Linked DNA regions of Drosophila melanogaster. The protein of the gene in region 2 purifies or fractionates together with the protein of the main gene of each other region. This does not show direct contact. Each region holds a gene or a part of one and is shown on either strand. Other genes may lie near its edges. The genes, in order: FipoQ, SPE, Sil1 and Tap42.

What was found.
Region 1: the proteins of SPE (region 2) and FipoQ purify together in Drosophila melanogaster (affinity purification with mass spectrometry, with the first as the bait; one large-scale study listed by BioGRID). This does not show direct contact.
Region 3: the proteins of SPE (region 2) and Sil1 purify together in Drosophila melanogaster (affinity purification with mass spectrometry, with the first as the bait; one large-scale study listed by BioGRID). This does not show direct contact.
Region 4: the proteins of SPE (region 2) and Tap42 purify together in Drosophila melanogaster (affinity purification with mass spectrometry, with the first as the bait; one large-scale study listed by BioGRID). This does not show direct contact.

The regions. Positions count from the first base shown.
Region 1 is NT_033777.3:29,494,502-29,499,423, reverse strand, and holds FipoQ (F-box involved in polyQ pathogenesis), read right to left. Parts: upstream 2,884-4,922; 5' UTR 2,747-2,883; coding exon 2,651-2,746; intron 2,425-2,650; coding exon 2,100-2,424; intron 2,038-2,099; coding exon 1,419-2,037; intron 1,361-1,418; coding exon 1,193-1,360; intron 1,125-1,192; coding exon 921-1,124; intron 862-920; coding exon 726-861; 3' UTR 501-725; downstream 1-500.
Region 2 is NT_033777.3:23,684,426-23,688,649, reverse strand, and holds SPE (Spatzle-Processing enzyme), read right to left. Parts: upstream 2,396-4,224; 5' UTR 2,365-2,395; coding exon 2,289-2,364; exon of another isoform or gene 2,113-2,288; intron 1,939-2,112; coding exon 1,546-1,938; intron 1,330-1,545; coding exon 1,020-1,329; intron 960-1,019; coding exon 536-959; 3' UTR 503-535; downstream 1-502. Other genes in the region: CG18754 (uncharacterized protein), read right to left, coding at 2,774-3,170, 3,236-3,469, 3,945-4,224.
Region 3 is NT_033777.3:25,233,131-25,237,163, reverse strand, and holds Sil1 (Sil1 nucleotide exchange factor), read left to right. Parts: upstream 1-1,634; 5' UTR 1,635-1,766; coding exon 1,767-1,902; intron 1,903-1,965; coding exon 1,966-3,119; 3' UTR 3,120-3,528; downstream 3,529-4,033. UniProt on the Drosophila melanogaster protein: Required for protein translocation and folding in the endoplasmic reticulum (ER). Functions as a nucleotide exchange factor for an ER lumenal chaperone of HSP70 family.
Region 4 is NT_033779.5:13,365,766-13,369,521, reverse strand, and holds Tap42 (Two A-associated protein of 42kDa), read right to left. Parts: upstream 1,906-3,756; 5' UTR 1,799-1,905; coding exon 1,676-1,798; intron 1,606-1,675; coding exon 586-1,605; 3' UTR 501-585; downstream 1-500. Other genes in the region: CG31855 (uncharacterized protein), read right to left, coding at 1-121; Grx3 (glutaredoxin 3), read right to left, coding at 2,214-2,391, 2,455-2,717, 2,782-2,991; Nnp-1, read left to right, coding at 3,446-3,756.

The DNA.
Region 1 (4,922 bases), 5.8 Mb from region 2:
TCGACCACAGCACCCACCTTCGATCCTATATCGTCATAGGCACAGACATTACGTATGTATAACTCACGCAGCTATGCTTAACTAAATTATATACCATGCATATAATAGCTGAACGCTGATCGGCAATGAGACGATAATTCAAACGGAGATGATCTACATATGTACGTTAAGTTTATGGTAAAAAGTCGATTCAAAAATGTTGAAACATACACACACAAAAAAAAAATTAAATTAGCATTAAGTTTGCAATGGATGAAAGCAGTGTAAAAATCATCAGCAAAACGCTAAAACGCAAAAACGATAAACATTTTATGTGGTGAAGTCTGAAAATGATTTAATCAAGTTACCAAGTAAATCTAGTTAAAAACAAAACACGAATCAACGCGGATTGAAATGATTAAAAAAAAAAAAAAAATGATTTAAAAACGAGAGCAAGGCGAAAAGTTGCGTTGTATAATTTTGTAATGTAAAAATAACTTGTATAAGCAAATCCTTGTTTTGTTTTTATTTAAATTACCTATGTACGTTTATTTAGATTTAAAGTAATTAAACGAAAGAAGCGGAAAATACAGAAAACATTAAAACACTCTTATTGTAAGCGAAAACACACAGAAACATTGCTTCTCCTCCGGCCCTGTTGTGGGTAAATCCCATCCAGAGCTCTGCAACCGGGTAAGTGCAAGCTACCAATCCTCTCTTGGCTTTCAGCTCTGAACCTCAGAGGCTCAGTTGAAAATCAAATCGTTGTAGTTGCGGAGCAGGTGATAGGGAGACACACGGCAGCAGGTGGTGGTGCGCACCACGGTGATGCGATCGGCACGCTCAAAGTTGGCCTTGACCGTCTCATAGTAGCGACCATCGCTGGAAGCGAAATATTGATGTTAATCCCGCATAGAAATAGGAGTCTGATGTAGACCCACCTGAGCACCATGCAGCGCAGCTTGAGGCACTTGACGCGCAGAATATCGATGGCCTTCTGGCTCTTGTCGGAGAAGCGCAGGTTGTCCGGATCCCAGCGCAGCTCCAGCCGCTCCAAGTTGCCGCAATTCGAGGCGATGGTGTCCATCAGCTGGTCCACGTGGATGTTGACGCCCAGCTTCTCTGCGGTGCCCATAACAATGATCCTGCAGGTTAAGAAAGTTCAGCTCATAATAAAATGTCTTTTCATTCGATGACCAATAGTGTCGCCTACTTGCAGTTGCCCAGCAGGGGCAGGATGCTCATCCACAGCTGGTCGGTGATGTGGGGCATGCCCGAGAGACAGCAGGCGCTCAGCTGATGACCCTGGCGCTGTATAAACTTAAGCAGGCCCTCATCCGAGATGTTGTCCGAGGAGTCCAAGTCCAGGGAAATGAGCGACCTAAATCATACTGCTATCGGAGTGCTTACACAGACGGGTAGGTACTGTCTCCGCTCACCTGGTGGTGCCCGATTCCATCCACTGCTTGAGAACGCTGTCGTTGAAGCCATTGATCTGGCCGGCTGAGAGGAACTTGAGGCTGGGGATCCTGCTCAGCATGTCCACGAGGCATTCGGTCGAAAGATCGGTGGCCGTGATGTCCAGCTCCTGCAGGGCGCACTTGTCCCACTCGGCCTGCATGACGAACTCCGACTTCAGGCTGGTGCCGTTCATGAGCAGGCAGGTGAGGCGCTTGGAACGCTGGATCAGGGTCTTCAGGGTGGAGCCGGTCACTTTGTTGCAGAAGTTGACGGCCAGGCACTCCAGCTGGATGCAGTTCGAGCTGAAGGCGTCGATGTGCGAGTCATCGATGAAGTTGATGCCGTACAGGTTGATCACACGCAAATTGGGCGTGGCCGACTTGAGCTTGTGCACGTTGATCACCTCGTAGATCTCCTCCTCCTCCTCCTCGCACTTCTCGTACGTGCCAATTAGATGCAGCACCTCCAGGCCGTTGATGAAGTTGTAGATTTTGCGCATGAAGCCCTCCATGAAGATCACCTCCGAGAGGCAGACGCACATGTAGCGCAGCTTGGTGGGAAAGGCCTGCATCTCGCTGAAGTCGTGCAGCTGCATGGCTAAGAAGTACACAGGACACTCTAGAGTTTAAGACGGACGATCGGCGACGTGGCGCACCCACCTGTGGAGAAGTCCAGCAGCATGTGGGTCAAATTGGGGCACTTGGCGGACAGTTCGTGGAGCACCGTGTGCGTGATCAGCTCGATGGGCAGCTCGATGTAGCGCAGAGTCGGTCCGAATCTCACCGAGATCAGCTGCAGCAGCATCTCCAGCGAGCCCACGTGCAGTCCGGAGACCTCCGGTCGCAGGCTCACGTTCTTCCACAGCCGCGTGTCGTATGCAATCTGCCGCCATCGTCGGCAAATCCTGGCCAGGCGGCAGATCTCGCGGTGCGACAGATACGAGAAGATGTGCAGCAGCACCTTGTCCGGCAGCTTCTCAATGGTCTGTGGATGAGAGTCACGATATATAGTGGTATATCCTATGGTACTACATAAGTGATTCAAATATGATCTCTAAATGTAAATCTAAACGACAGTTCGGAATAGTTGAGTGCGAATGTGGTGCTATATATTCTACGGGTGAGTGAATCTATAGATACTCTCTCTTACGCCACAGACTGGCTCTCCCAAATGAGTGGGATCCCTAAGTAATATCCCAAACCCATCGTACCGTATCGGCGAAGGGACTGCGAACTGTGCCGTCGGAGAGGTAGACCTGCGATGCCTCCACGGCCAGCTGACCCCAGATATCGGTGGATATATCCATGGCTGGGTGTGGATGATTCGGAACCACTTGCTTATATAAAAAAAAAATATAGCTACACACGGGGCAAACTACGCGTGCTCTGCCTGCGAGGCGAGAATATCCGTCGTATCGAGCTACTTTCGCGCTACTGCGAGCCGCATTCCCATCGACGTGCCATCGGAATCTCCAAAGATCCGCCAGGCAGTAGTAGACTCAAGAGAACCCTAGGCTTATTTATAGACCAGCGCCAGTAACGAGAGCACTGCCACATCGCATCACTCAATCACTCTACTTTCGGATGCATCAGCTGTGCTGTTCACGGGCGACGCACCACACCACTCACGCACTCTTTAAGAACAAATAGAACCACTAGAACCACCAGCACCACTCACCCAGCGGTGCACGTGGAGAAACATGCTGATAAAATCCCTGCCAAATCTCTTCCTTTCCTCGTCAGATTCAAAATCATTAGTAAGCTGTATAAAAGTATCTCGAGATATTTTACTATATTTTACTTATATCTAAAAGTATCTGATATTGCTGATAGTATCTACCTTTTGTAGGTTCGGATAACCTATGGATTCATCTTAAGATATTTCTACTTCTTAGATACTTTAAGATGCATCTGAAAATGCTTCTGTTTCCCGAGGAATAACCTTCTGAGCTTTATCCTTTAGCGCCTACTTTAAGATACATTTCCGCACAGCCTGCTTTTGCATATATATATTTAATAGTAATAATAGATTTCGAACCCCTTTTACTTTCTCAGTGCACAATGTTTGTTGCCAAGAATTCTATATATACGCCATCGTTCGTCTGTCTGGCTTTGTTTTGTTTACTACATCTAATATGTATATCTATCTGCACATGTGTATGTTCTATGTACAGGGTACTCACCAGTCGGGTCTTCACCACGCCAGAGTCGTGGAGTCCGATGGCCTGCGAGGAGGTTTGCGCTGCCAAAACATTCCAATTATCCATGGTGGGCACTGCGCTCTAGTTCGCGATTTGGATTGGGATCAGCCGGAAAGCTGAAGGTGTTCGCTGTCTCAGCTGTACAATATGTATGTATGTATGGTCTTGCTGGATCCGTCCGCTTCTATCTATGTATCTATGTATCTATGTATCTAACTAAGGGAGGAGATGTGCCGGCTATACTCGCATGAGATACATTCATTCATGAGCTAAACTATTTCTGCAAGGCTTTCCCAATTAGTCACACTGAATTCTGAGCATTTCAAACTAATTGTTATTTAGAAATTATTAGTTTACAAGCAGCTAAGCTAATTAAATTACCACATTTTGAAGCAAATTAATAGGAAATCTATATTCAGTAGTCTATTAGTTCTGGAAAGTATAAGTATATTAAGTAAGCAAGCGAAAGCAGTTAGTTAAAACTTCGTTTTTACTATGTTATTTACCCATTTGATTAGTTGATCAAACGAAATTGTTAGACACTTTCCGCAAATAAACGAGTGCGAGAAGGAAAGCTTTTAATTAATTAATTAATTGATGCCCGCAGGCGATTAAAATAGCAAATTCACAATTATGCAAACTCAGTGAACACACACACATTGTTCACTTGCGACTTTTGATTTTCGACGAGGATGGGCGTCACATCTGAATTTGTTTCATCCTTCGCCCGGTTTATTAATAGTTTTCCCTCAGCTGGTGGATCTGGTGGAAAAAACTGTTGGGGTTGCAAGTGCAACGTGGAAAGTGCAGTTTCGTAACTTTAGCACTTTCGTTGCAAGTTGAAAAAAAAAACTAGGGAAATTCACTTGGCAAATTCACTTATTCTGTTGCAAATTACTGGCAAATCGGATTGATAAATTCCGGCGAAAATCGACGGATTCTGCGGCTTTACATGGGCGAATGCTCCGCGTTCTCGACGGCTCCACAACTCTGAGAAAACTGAGAAAATCAGGCGTCCGCGGAAAATGGTTTATGCCAAAATTCACTCGGCTAGTTGATCGTACTACATGCGGAGTACATGGCTACATGGGCATCTGGGGATCTGTGGATCTGTGGATATGGAGGGGTTATTCGGGGCGATCTCTGCGAGTGCAGGCGTCATTTGCTTTTCCCATGGCGAGCGGCCAACAGAGGGGCGGTTGCCCAGGGGGCGTGGTCGATCGTTGGGAAACAGATATTACAAATGCTAGAAACTACAAAAAATCACTTCTTATGATTTGAG
Region 2 (4,224 bases):
AAGCAATGTCATTCTGCTGGTCTACGGAATTAGGCAACTATTGGTCATGTACAATGCCCTTCTCCACCTCGTGTGTGGATATATTTCAAAATTTTAAGCGGATCCAGGTGAAATCGTTGTCGTTTATGGCATCCCATCTGAATGTTGGACCCACTCGGAAAATGCGCAGATGACCATTAGCAATAGTAGAAAATTCCATTCCATGGAAGCCATCTCGATACCCCAGAACCCAATCCGATACTGACCAAGCTCTCCGGCACATCTGCCGTCTAGATTGACAAGTGAGATGGCTATTGCAACAGAGATAAATGAGTTCCAGAGATTTTCCTCTACTTTTCCATTAGAATATGGGAAATTACGTGGGCAAGCTACTACCAGACTTTGCTGATCACAGATTGACAGAAAAGTGGTTCGATATTATTACAACCGGTTGTGCTCGCAAAACTTGACAGTGCCGATCTCATGTGAATTGATTAAACCCCAATATCTACATCGCGCTTTTCACATGGTTATCATGTATTTAAGTATGTATTCATCATGGCTCCAATTTCTGCTTTATCCAATCGATGAAAGCCCCCGTGCGGGTATAGACGCCGGGCCATCCCTTGAGGCCGCAGGGCTTCGTCCCGTAGGAGGTGACGCCGGCAATGTAGAAGACATCCCGGCCGCCCGTGGATATAGGCACCATAAGGGGACCGCCGGAATCGCCACCGCATGTATCCACGCCCAACTGGCCGCCGGCACACATCTGAGAATCGTCCAGTTTCACCTTGAAGCTGGAGTACTTTTCCTGACAACTCGTTAGGTTCCAAACGTTGACGGTGATCTTCAGCTTGATCGCACTTGGCTGCATGTTCTCGGTAAGTCCCCAGCCGGCCACATCCATGCCGTAGTCCACAAAGTTGTTTTGGACTAAACCATCCGTGGGAAGGCATATTGGACGCACGTAGTCGGTGTAGCTGTGGCAAAAACAAAAAAGCAAGTCAGTGGAATAATTGAGGGATCTCTGGACCACATACCTAACAATCCTCTTAAGGCGCACCAACGCAATGTCATTACGCTGATCAACGGAATTGGGAGCATACATCTCGTGGATGATGCCCTTCTCGACCTCAATGTCGATGTGTTTCGGTGCACAGATGCGCTGTCCGTTCATCTGGGTGGTGCAGTCAGGATCGGTACGAGTGTCCCACTCCCCCAGGCGAACGCTGTGTAGAACGGCACCGGATTTGTCCAGTTCTCGGCTGGCCAGGCAGTGTCCAGCGGTCAGGACGTAGCGCGAGTTGAGCAATGCACCGCCGCAGTTGAAAGTGTAGGTTTCAGAAAAAACTGAAAGGATAAAGAGCGTTTCCCAAGTACATATTATAAATTGATTAGATACTAATAATAGCCTTGTATATATTGAATATGCGTTTTCTTATAATGATGATCCCCCCATTGGAGAATTTGATTTGAAAAAGTGATTAAAAAATGATTACAGGTGACCTCGTGAAACAACCTTCCTATAAGAGATTAAAATAGAGCCTGGGTAGGTAATCTACTCACGTTTTTTGTACTGCAGCAATACCATCCATGGGAATTCCCAGAGGGTCGTATTGGTGCCCCCGAAAATGCGATCAGCGAAAAGGAAGCCGCAGACGTCATTTCCAGGCAGCACATCCCCCTGCTGCAGTGCATCCCTCGTCGAAGGAGTTGGTTCCGAGTCCATGATATTGCCCCGCATGCTCTGCGGACAGCAGACCAGGATTCGATTCACCAAGCCCTCAACCCTGTTGTCCAGGCCACACTGGCTCTTGGAGAGAAGGATTCGCTGGGCGGGAGTCTTTGGCTCCACCATCAGCAGGTTGGCCAGGTAGGGGCAGCTGGTGATGTGAACGCACTGGCCGCGCTCATCGCTCTGCTGGGGCGTACAACTGCCAAAGCTGATCTCCGCTGCGTCTGGAAGAGAAGAGCGCGATTTACGATGCAGTCTAACCGGTTCTGAACCAATCCATTAAAGGCAATCCATTCTACTAATGGACTTCATGTCTAATATTTCTCATAAAATTTCTTAGTCCGGGAAACTATATGTTGATATTTAATATATTTGAAGTTTTCAAAAACTCTTTGATTATTAGTTGTTATGGTTTTTATTCTCACAATCAACAAGGTCAAGTGCTTAGTTTTTCTAGCTTTATTCAAACTATATACTATACTATACTATATATATAGAACTATATACTTTTGAAAGAAGCACCATTGCATCCAGTTGCTGTGGATATTGTTTGCCCAAAGGACAGCTTACCCACCTGATCGATGGACCAAGCCGGATAATGCGCTGACCACCAGTGACAGTAGCAGAAAATTCCGTTCCGTAGAAGCCATCTCGTCGCTATGGGCTCCAAGCTGATACTAACCAAGCTGTCCGGCAGTTTCGCTGTCACCGATTCTCTCCCGATGCATTGGGCGTGATTAGCAGAGGTTATCTCCGGACTCAATACCATCTAGATTGCAACAAAGGCAAAAGCTATGTGAATAGGGTGGTCTTTCCCTGCCTTAATATTTACATAGTAGTTCTGCTGAGCTGGGCAAACCCAGCGGTGTAGTTATTAGAAATTTATTTATGCTTAATCTTCTCTCGGCACGTTATGTTTTTTGAACAACACGTTTTTTAAAAAACAATCTTCAGTGCTTTTTCTTATCTTTTGGGGTTTTATAGGTCTATTACTTTATAGTAGTGGATTAATGGAACAGATGCTATTCCAATTTTGCAAATATGAATTCTTTATTAAAATTAGGGAGCCAAATTCGCTTTGATCCACTCCGAAAAGTGGCCAATTTTTGTGTAAACACCTGGAATACCAGCAGAGTAGCAATATTGTTGTCCATATGAGGCAATGCCTGCCAAAAAGACGAACTCGTCGACGCCGCTTCCCATGATGCCCATTACCGGACTGCCGGAGATGCCCGCACAGGTGTCCCCTTTCCGTTGACCACCGGCGCATACTTGGGACGCGGAGCGAAAGCTGGGATACCTATTCAAGCAATCAGCAGGATTCCTTTCCTTGACCGTGCTGGTGATCAACGTTTGACTGCTTTTAGTCGGATCCCAGCCAGAGATTTGCAAATTCAAATCCTGTAGGGGAAATTCGGCGTCCAATAGACAAATGGGTTGGATCTTTTTCGTGTATCTAGCGGGTTTGTAAAGAAATTTCCATAAGATGTGGAGATTAGGGTGGAGATCACTGCTACTCACCGCACTGGGAATTGCAATCGGAGGAGGGCGATGTCGTTGCGGTAAGTTCCGCCACTCGAAGTGAAACCCTGATGTACTGTTGTTTGCCCCACCTCCACATCCAAATGTGGACACCTGCTTTCCGAGGTGATGCAGTCGGTAGTGGACTCGCCCAGGCGCACACTCTTCAGAACCAGGTCATTCTGCGTCAAGTAACCACCGATCACGCAGTGGGCAGCGGTCAGCACATAGCGACTGTAAAATCCCAAATGAGAAGACTTTACTCGTTGAGTTTTTGTAAGAAACTAATTTTATTTGGAAATATCTTCGGTTTAAATAGGTGACATGAGAATCGCATCTTAAAGTAAATGGCCTACGCAGAGGCCTAAGTAAATAGTCCCCGCCTTATCGAGGTCCCACGCTCGGGCACATCTGCCTATCTTGAGCGGCGAGGACCTTATCTGTGGTCTCCCACTAAGGGACTATTTTAGGAGGCGGGGAAAGATCTCAAGTGACTGACTCATGTAGTGTGCACTTAAATTACATGTTTTTGAGCAATGCACCCATGTCGCCTTAGATAACAAAATCCTAAATATAATTTATCGCTCTCGATTCATTTACATAAGATATGAACGGAGCCCAAAATTGTAAGTCTTTAAATATATTCGTGTTCATGTGTGAACAGCGACTGTTGATCAGTGAGCCCGCACAACCAGTTCGTTGATTCCACATCAAGGATAGCCGATTCTCATATAACAGCAATACCATCCAAGGGTACTCATTAAGCTCTGCATTCTCGGCACCCCGATCTCGGAACACGGGCGTCGTTTGTCCACAGGTCTGTTTGTTGGGCAAGACGTCACCCAACTCTGGGCAGCAGACATAAACCATGTGCAACAACTCGTGTCCATTGGGGTCCAGGCCACACTGCCTGTGTGCAAACACATCTTTCTCCGCCTGGGTCATGCCCCGGGGCCTAAGGATGTTCATAAGCGGCGAGCAGCTAACCA
Region 3 (4,033 bases), 1.5 Mb from region 2:
ATTAACCAATATATTTCCACTTATCCTGCAATGCATTATATATATATATAATTTAATTATACATATATAATTTGCACTATATTTCGGCATCTTGTGTACTTTTTATAGATTCAAACTCCGTGAAATGGAATCCGCGCTTTGTTCACACTTTTAATAAAGTGCAAATATCAATTCGTACTTATTGGCTTATGATATTATTCATCCCATATTTGCTTTGAGATCAGCACTTGGAATTGGGAACCTACCTCTGGGGGAATTCCTAAGTGTGCTAAATGGCCAGGCAATCTGAAAGGGAATGATAATGAATAGGTCATGGTTAAGGATCCACGATAAAAATCACTTAAGTTATGAAATTGTATTCCGACCAGAAGGAAGAATGCATCCCAAGGCTCCCAACTATGAAATTTCCGTTTTGGACATATGTACGAAGATAAATCTTTTTGTGGCCAACACAACTCAATTCCGACATAAACCAATTAGACATAGTCGGGCATTTTGGACGACATCAAACAGGTTCCAACGGCATCGATAATCGATAATGGATGGATCGACGGATAAAAGTTGCTCGGCGAGGTGGCTTCACTTTCAAAACTATTGGACAGGCGACGTTCGGAACGGGCCGAGTGAATTTAATTTGGCAAATTCTAGTTAAAGGCTCCTGGCGTTCGTCATCAGCAATTAGCATATACTACATATATACATATGTATATGTATATTTGGTGTGTGATTGGCATGAAACCGGCATTCTGTTTATTTACCCATCCAATTGGCGCCAGGTGAGTCCAAATATTTCACTTTTGTCCACTTTGATGTGTTTGCGCAGCCAATTCCTAGACGCTGTCGTAGACATCGAGATTACAACGGATTTTCGGGGGCGAAATATGGTAATATATGCAAACACGCTTTTATTTTATTACGTCGGGCTTGCCTGCAAATAATTTGGCATTTCAATTTTGAGTTGGTTGATTCATCTGCGCGTAAACATGATTTCGTTTTTCTTTGTAAACTCAGTAAATACGTTTAGTTTATAACTAGTTTAGCTACGTTGTAACGAAGTGGAAAGCTTATGAATGGCGGTTACTTTTCAATTTTTAATGAATTCACGATGAGTTTGGGAATTTTTGGTGGCATTCTGGTTTGATGTGGTTTAATCGTTCTGAATGGCATTAACTTTTTCTGGTTCTTAAATATTAATTTCAAGTCTGGAAATTTCTAGCAATGCTTGTTTTTCACAACAAACTAAGGTTTAAAAATATTAATATTTGTGTTCGTTAGGGATAAAAATTAATTTGTTAGCGAAATAATGTTTGAAATCATTTAAAGTTTCCAACTATTCCGGACTAAGAGCAAAAATTAACCATAAAAATTTTTACTTAATTTTTGTATTACTTATTTATATAAGATTTGGCTTGGAATGTCCAACAGCACAATCTAATAAATATAAAGAAAGATTATAAAGCATACATATAGTTTACACTTTTTCAATACTTTAATATATTCTATTGTTTATAACGAATTTATTGATTACAAATATTTTCAAATTTGAAATTGAATTGTAACCGCCTTTGACTGGTTCCGAATCGACTGGCTCTCCACGGAACATATCGCCACATGCGGTATAATCAATGCAGCTCCCTACGGTCATACTATTAACCACATCCACATCAGAAGTCTGAAATCTGATTTAAAAACTCTCACGAAACTTACTTAAAACCAGGTGAAATAAAGACTGAATACATTCTGGAGGCAAGACAAGCTGAAGCAGTATGAGTGGCAAGCAGGTAGTCATCCTTCTGGGCAGTGTCCTGATCCTGGGATGCTTACAAGTGGCAGCGGCAACGGAAACGGATAACAAAACCAACGATTTCGTGGCCACCGACGAATGGCAGACGATTGCGGAAGGTTAATGGCTAGCCAGGCTAACTCTCGGATGACGTGTACTAAGTGAGCACTCTATATTTCCAGGTCAAGCTATTCCAAGGGGCCTGCACGTGCGCATCAACCTACAAACGGGGCTCAAGGAAGCCAAACTCTTAGACGAAAGCGAACGTGGCACGTCGCTGCAGAGTCAACCGGATGATCAGAATGCTCGGGAATCTCACGATGACAACGAACCCCTGGCTCTGGACTATAAACCGGACATAATCGAGGAGTCTATACGGCGGGTCAAGGAGCAGAAGAAGAGCTATGCCGAGCTACGCAAAGCGTACAAAGAGTTCCAGAAGAACTTTCGCACCGACGGAGAACTGATCGTCCAGTTAATCGATCAGTTTCGGAACTTCAGCAGAACGCCGCTAGAGTCAGAGATGCGCTCCAAGCTGGACTGCCTGGAAAATCTGGAGTATTTGCTCCATCAGATAGACAATGCCTTGATGTTCATTGATAATGGGGGATTGGATGATGTACTACTGCCCATTGTTGTGAACGATACCAGTACATCCCTGAGAGTGTCGGCCATGCGTGTGTTGGGCTCGCTGGCGAGCAACAATCCCAAGGCCCAGATCAAGGTGTTCGAAAAGAATTTCGGGTCTCATCTGGCTCAGATTCTGACCAGTTCCGGAAATGTCGGTGAGATCTCCGCTGCATTGCACGCCTTTGGAGCCTTGTTGCGGAAATTTCCGCTAGCCCAGCAGCGAGTGCTTTCCACCTCGGGTACACAGGCTCTGATCAAGGTGCTCCAGAGTCCGGATGTGGAGCTGCGGAGCAAGGCGAAGGTAGTGACTCTCATAAGCGACCTAGTGCTGGAGAAGCGGTCAGTGCTGGATGTCAGCAAAGATGATCCCGAAGCCTCATCCACAATGGCGCAATATGTGCTCTTGGACTTCGAGTCGTGGCTGAAAACGCCGGGCTACTGCGCGGCGGTGGACACTGTGCTAACCAAGGAGTTCCTGCTCCTCCTAGAGCAACCGGAGGTGGTGGAACAGTTTGCCACCGCATTGGAGACCACCGAAGATATGTGCACCAGCACGTGGTCGCAAAGTTCCGGTCTCAGGCATGCACTATTAACCGTTCGCAATCGGTATGCCAACAGCACGGACGAGTACCGACTGGAGGTGTCCCAGATTTTGGCCAAACTGTGCGAGAGATTGTTCAACAAGCCCAAGCACACCGAACTGTAATCCTAGCCAATTTACTATGTTATTTATGTTAATTTCATTTAATTGTAAGCTGAGTTGGAATGAAATTCGCAGCCAAACCATAGAATACGATAGCTAAGATGCCAAGTACTTGTGATGCAAAAATAATGCTCTTTGTCATTAACTTAGGATAGCAATCAATCATGCCAAACATCTACAGGATTTTCGTTATCAAATATAGTCTCTTACTTAAGATTATTTTAAGTGTGATTTTTTTTTAATAGGCAGACGATTCACCAACGAGCACATCAAAATAATTATGTTGTTACACGTCATTAAACTAGCAAAAATTTGTATGCTACAGAATTGTTCTCCAAACAGATTATGAATCCTTAAAGCCTTAAGTTCTTGTTTATTGTAGCTACAATAATAAAGCAATGACCTAATGTTTAATTTAGAAATTCTTTCTTAAATCAGTTGACTTCTTTTCAGTGGCATATTCTTAAAATGTAGTGCTAAATTATGAAAGGAAATGTATTTTCAATCAAGAAATCGCATTAGGAGATTGGATATTCCACCCCTATAGAACTACAGACCCATTTAAAGCCCGATAAGGCGAGCATAATCGACCGGGCCATAAAGTAAGTCAAAAGTGTCGGAAGGAAAGCAAAAACGCCGAGGAAAGCATGTCCCAAAAAACCACTTGAAGTTTGAATGTGAGCCAAACGAAGCCACAAGAACAGGGAAAACCTGGCACGGAACTGTACAGGAGGAGAAAGGACATCGGAGCAGGAGAGTGCAATTATGTGCCGGCAAAGTTGGAAGTTGGAGTCGAAGTCCAGCGCGGGAATTACAGCAATTAGCGGCAGTCACATGCAAATGCAATGTCACTGGGGCTGAGTCACGACGGTGGATGGTCGGATAGGTGGAGTGGTAAAGGTGAAGCAGCGCCTGGA
Region 4 (3,756 bases), on a different chromosome or scaffold from region 2:
CGGTGGGCAGGTAGACGGAGGCACGCTTCTGCGACGTTCGAATTCCATGTTCGTTGCTCAAATGGGTAAAATTGCTCGAATCGTGTATGGGCAGACCCTTGATAAAGTCTCGTACTGACATTCTGCTTTTGGGTTGCTGCAGAGTACGAAAAGTGTTAACACTTGATACTACCACGTATCTGCTGTATTTTAACACACCTCACTTTAATCTTTGTTGATCTATCAATATTTCGAGAGAACTGTCTTCTCTTTTACGTTTTTTGTGTAGCAACTCACAAAAATTTAACTTGTGCTTGAGATTTTTGTTTTTGTTACTGGTGGTGACAATCAGTGCTGCAAAATGCGCGATTACAGCCAAACGCCTACCAATACTGCAACAGTGGAACTATTCTAACTATTTATTTACTGTATATATTGTCAATTCAATAAAAAAGAAAACAATTTTTATTTTATCAATAGCGCATCCCTAGGATTTATAAATAAATTTAGAAACTAGAATTATTTTTTGAATATACTGACTTAAAACCAGTCTTGCGGTTATACCATTTTATTGGGTTTTAAAAAAATACATAAATTTTGAGTTCCTTAACTACGGTTATGACGGTTGCCGTCACCGCGACGCACCACATCCTTGTATTCATCCATGCGCCTCATGCGGTCTATATACTCGGGATCATCCTGCTCCGCCTGTAGCTCCTCAACGGCCTTCTCCTCGTCCTCTTTTTCGTTGGGATCCCGGGCGGCCGCGATGGCCTGTGCCTGATTCATCTTGGCAACCTTCTCCTCATCAGGAAAGATGCCCTCGTCGACGCGCTGCTGGTAGAATTCATCAACAGTCATAATGGGCAAACTGGGGTATCCCAAGCCGAAAACCGCCTTCTGGGTGGCATTACGTGTTATGATGAAGGGCTGCAAGGGCTTTGGCTTAGCGGCCTGCTGATGATGGTGGTGGTGTCCGGGTCCGTGGCTGTGACCATGACCGCGGGAGGTGGACGATGCAGAAGATTGATTTTGATTCGGTGGACGGAACGAATCCACTTCGTTGTCGGATTCGCCACCAGCCAATCGGGCAAGGCGCATCTGGGCCAGCTGCTTCATTACGCCCAATGTTTCTAATTCCTGCTTGGAGTCTATTATACTCTTGTCCAAATACTTGAGGAAAAAGACACGTTTATCCTCATCGTCGACCGTTTTGTTCTTGACTGCATCGCGCATTCTGGCCATATACTCGTCAATCTCCTTCATCCGGCGATACTGGGCTATTTTGTCGTTTCTATTGAAGGCTGCCTCTACCAGCTCGCGCTGCTCGCTTTTTTCCGCTTGGCTATCCGCCTTAGCCACCTGAGATTTGGGCGCTGCACAGAGATCATACTCCTGGCAACGCTGCAGGTGGTCCTTGAAGTAAATCTCGCCCAGCTCTATGGAGTGTGTGTTATTGGGGCTGTTGATCTTAGTGGTAAGCTTGCCCAGAAAGTAAGGGAGCAGCATGAATGGTAGCGATTCCGTGGACACCTCGTCGATCAACTCGTTGGCACTGAACATGCTAACCTGGTTCACAATGACGGTGGCCTGCTCGAAAAGGCCCATTGCAGTCTTCACTTTGTTCTAAACGTTGTGGTAAACGTTCAATGCTGGTTTTTATTACATATATATGAAGATCTTCAATATTACACACCTGAAATTCGCTGCCATTGAAGGGCAGTTCGGTAACTTCTAGCTCGTCGAATATGTTCCAGCCCTTTAGAAAGATGTCCGTCAGCTTTTGGTCCTCTCCGCCAGCGGTATTACCCTCAGCCATTTAAAGATTTGGATATAAGTTTATAGTTAATGGGTATTTTCAATAATATAAATAATATTGCGAAAATAATGTGCAAGATGCCGACGCCGAAACAGCTGTTTACAAAATGAAGGTACGCAAAATACCAGATAAACCAGGGCTGGTGTATAAAAAAGTTCTTACAAATTTCTAGCTATATTTATGTCGTTAAGTTTGTAAACATTTATGGTGACACCATTGAAGCCCGTGTAAGATGTCTTATGGATGACCTATAGCACATTTGCTTTAATACAATTGTTATTAAAAATTTCGATGAATAAAATAATACCAGAATGTAGCAAAAATCCTTTATTAAACCATTAAAAAGTCTAAGGATCTAGCTAAAAATTTGTTTCTGGTTTATGGTGTCTGTAGGAGTAGATGCAATCCGATGGAATTAGCCCTTTAGCGTGGACTCGAGCTCATTGTTCGCCAGCAGTTCCTTAATAATATCGAGTCCGCCGATAAGTTCACCCTTGACGTAAACCTGGGGATATGTGGGCCAGTCGGAGTAGGTTTTCAGGCCTTGACGCACTTCTTCGTCGCCGAGGATGTCAAATGTCTCGTACGGCAAGCTATCGAAGGATATTTTCGTTTATAACTTGAAATCAAATACAACTGATGATCAATTTGCATACTTGGTTTCGTTCACAATGCCGATGAGCTGCTTGGAGAATCCGCAACGCGGTCCATTTCGGTCGCCCTTCATGAATATCATCAGCGGAGCTGTATTGATTAGGGCCTTTAGGCGTTCCTCCAACGTTTGTCCTGTTGCCGCCGCGCTGCTTGCGTTTTCGGCCAACTTTTTGGATTTGGCGCTTATGGCGGCGATGTCTACACCATCGACACGGTCAACGGCGGAGCCCTTGGCGAAGAATATGACTGTGGGCACGGCCTCGATCTGGTGGCATCGCAAATGAATGAGGAACTACTGTTATATTTTCATAAAATAAATACGAGCGTACCTGATGTTTCATGGAAATCTCGGGAAATTGTTCAGCGTTTAGGCTGATGAACTGCAGTTTTTCGCCAGTAATCTTGGCCAGCTCCTCCAGCGCGTCTTTCACCTGACCGCATTGCTCTGCCCATTCGGCGGCGAATAGAGCTACGGTCGTCTTATCCGCATTAATGTACTTCTGGTACTCCTCGGCAGCCGACACGTTCACCACGGGCATGATTTCTTTGAATTATTTAACTAAATTTGCTGGACAAGCAAAATTTACAAAAAGCAGACCGAATTATCAGCTGTGGAAGAGAGTTGCCACTTTCCGTAAAGAAGTCAGCGCTGGTAGCTATAAAATAACAACCTATAAATGGCTAAAAATATATAAAATTGTATTAAAATGTATAAAGCAAGCGTTTCATGAAGTATCAAAACTAGCAATTTAAATATTCTTTTTATTATTCTTTTTTTCTTTATTTTATTCTTTGAAAATTATTTCATTAGCTTGAGTTTTTGTTGTCATTTTCAGTACAGCTCATGCATTTAGAGCTGTTGGACGAAATTTGGAGAAAATGTCGTTTCAACATCTGGCAACATCGAACGGCAACACGTGCGGTCGTGCCGTACCGTATTCAATATACACAGCTCACTTATTTTTCGCAACTAAAAGTTGAATTAGCCGGATAATGGTGACGCGCAAGAAGCCAGTTAAGCGCAACGCCGAGGCGGCCGAAATCCAGGTCGAGCAGGAGGAGGACGCTTCACAGCCGAAGGTGGCCAAGGAGCTGATGGTGGTCGCCCAGGAGGTGAAAATTATACGTGCTCTTGCCTGCAACGATGTGGTGGAGCGTAATCGCCAGATCCGCATTTTGCGCAAGTGGTTCAAGGCGCGTGCCGGTAGCTCCTTTCCCTTCAACGAGGACGACTTCATGCGCATCTGGAAGGGATTGTACTACACCATGTGGATGTCGGATAAGCCGCTGGTGCAGGAGGAGCT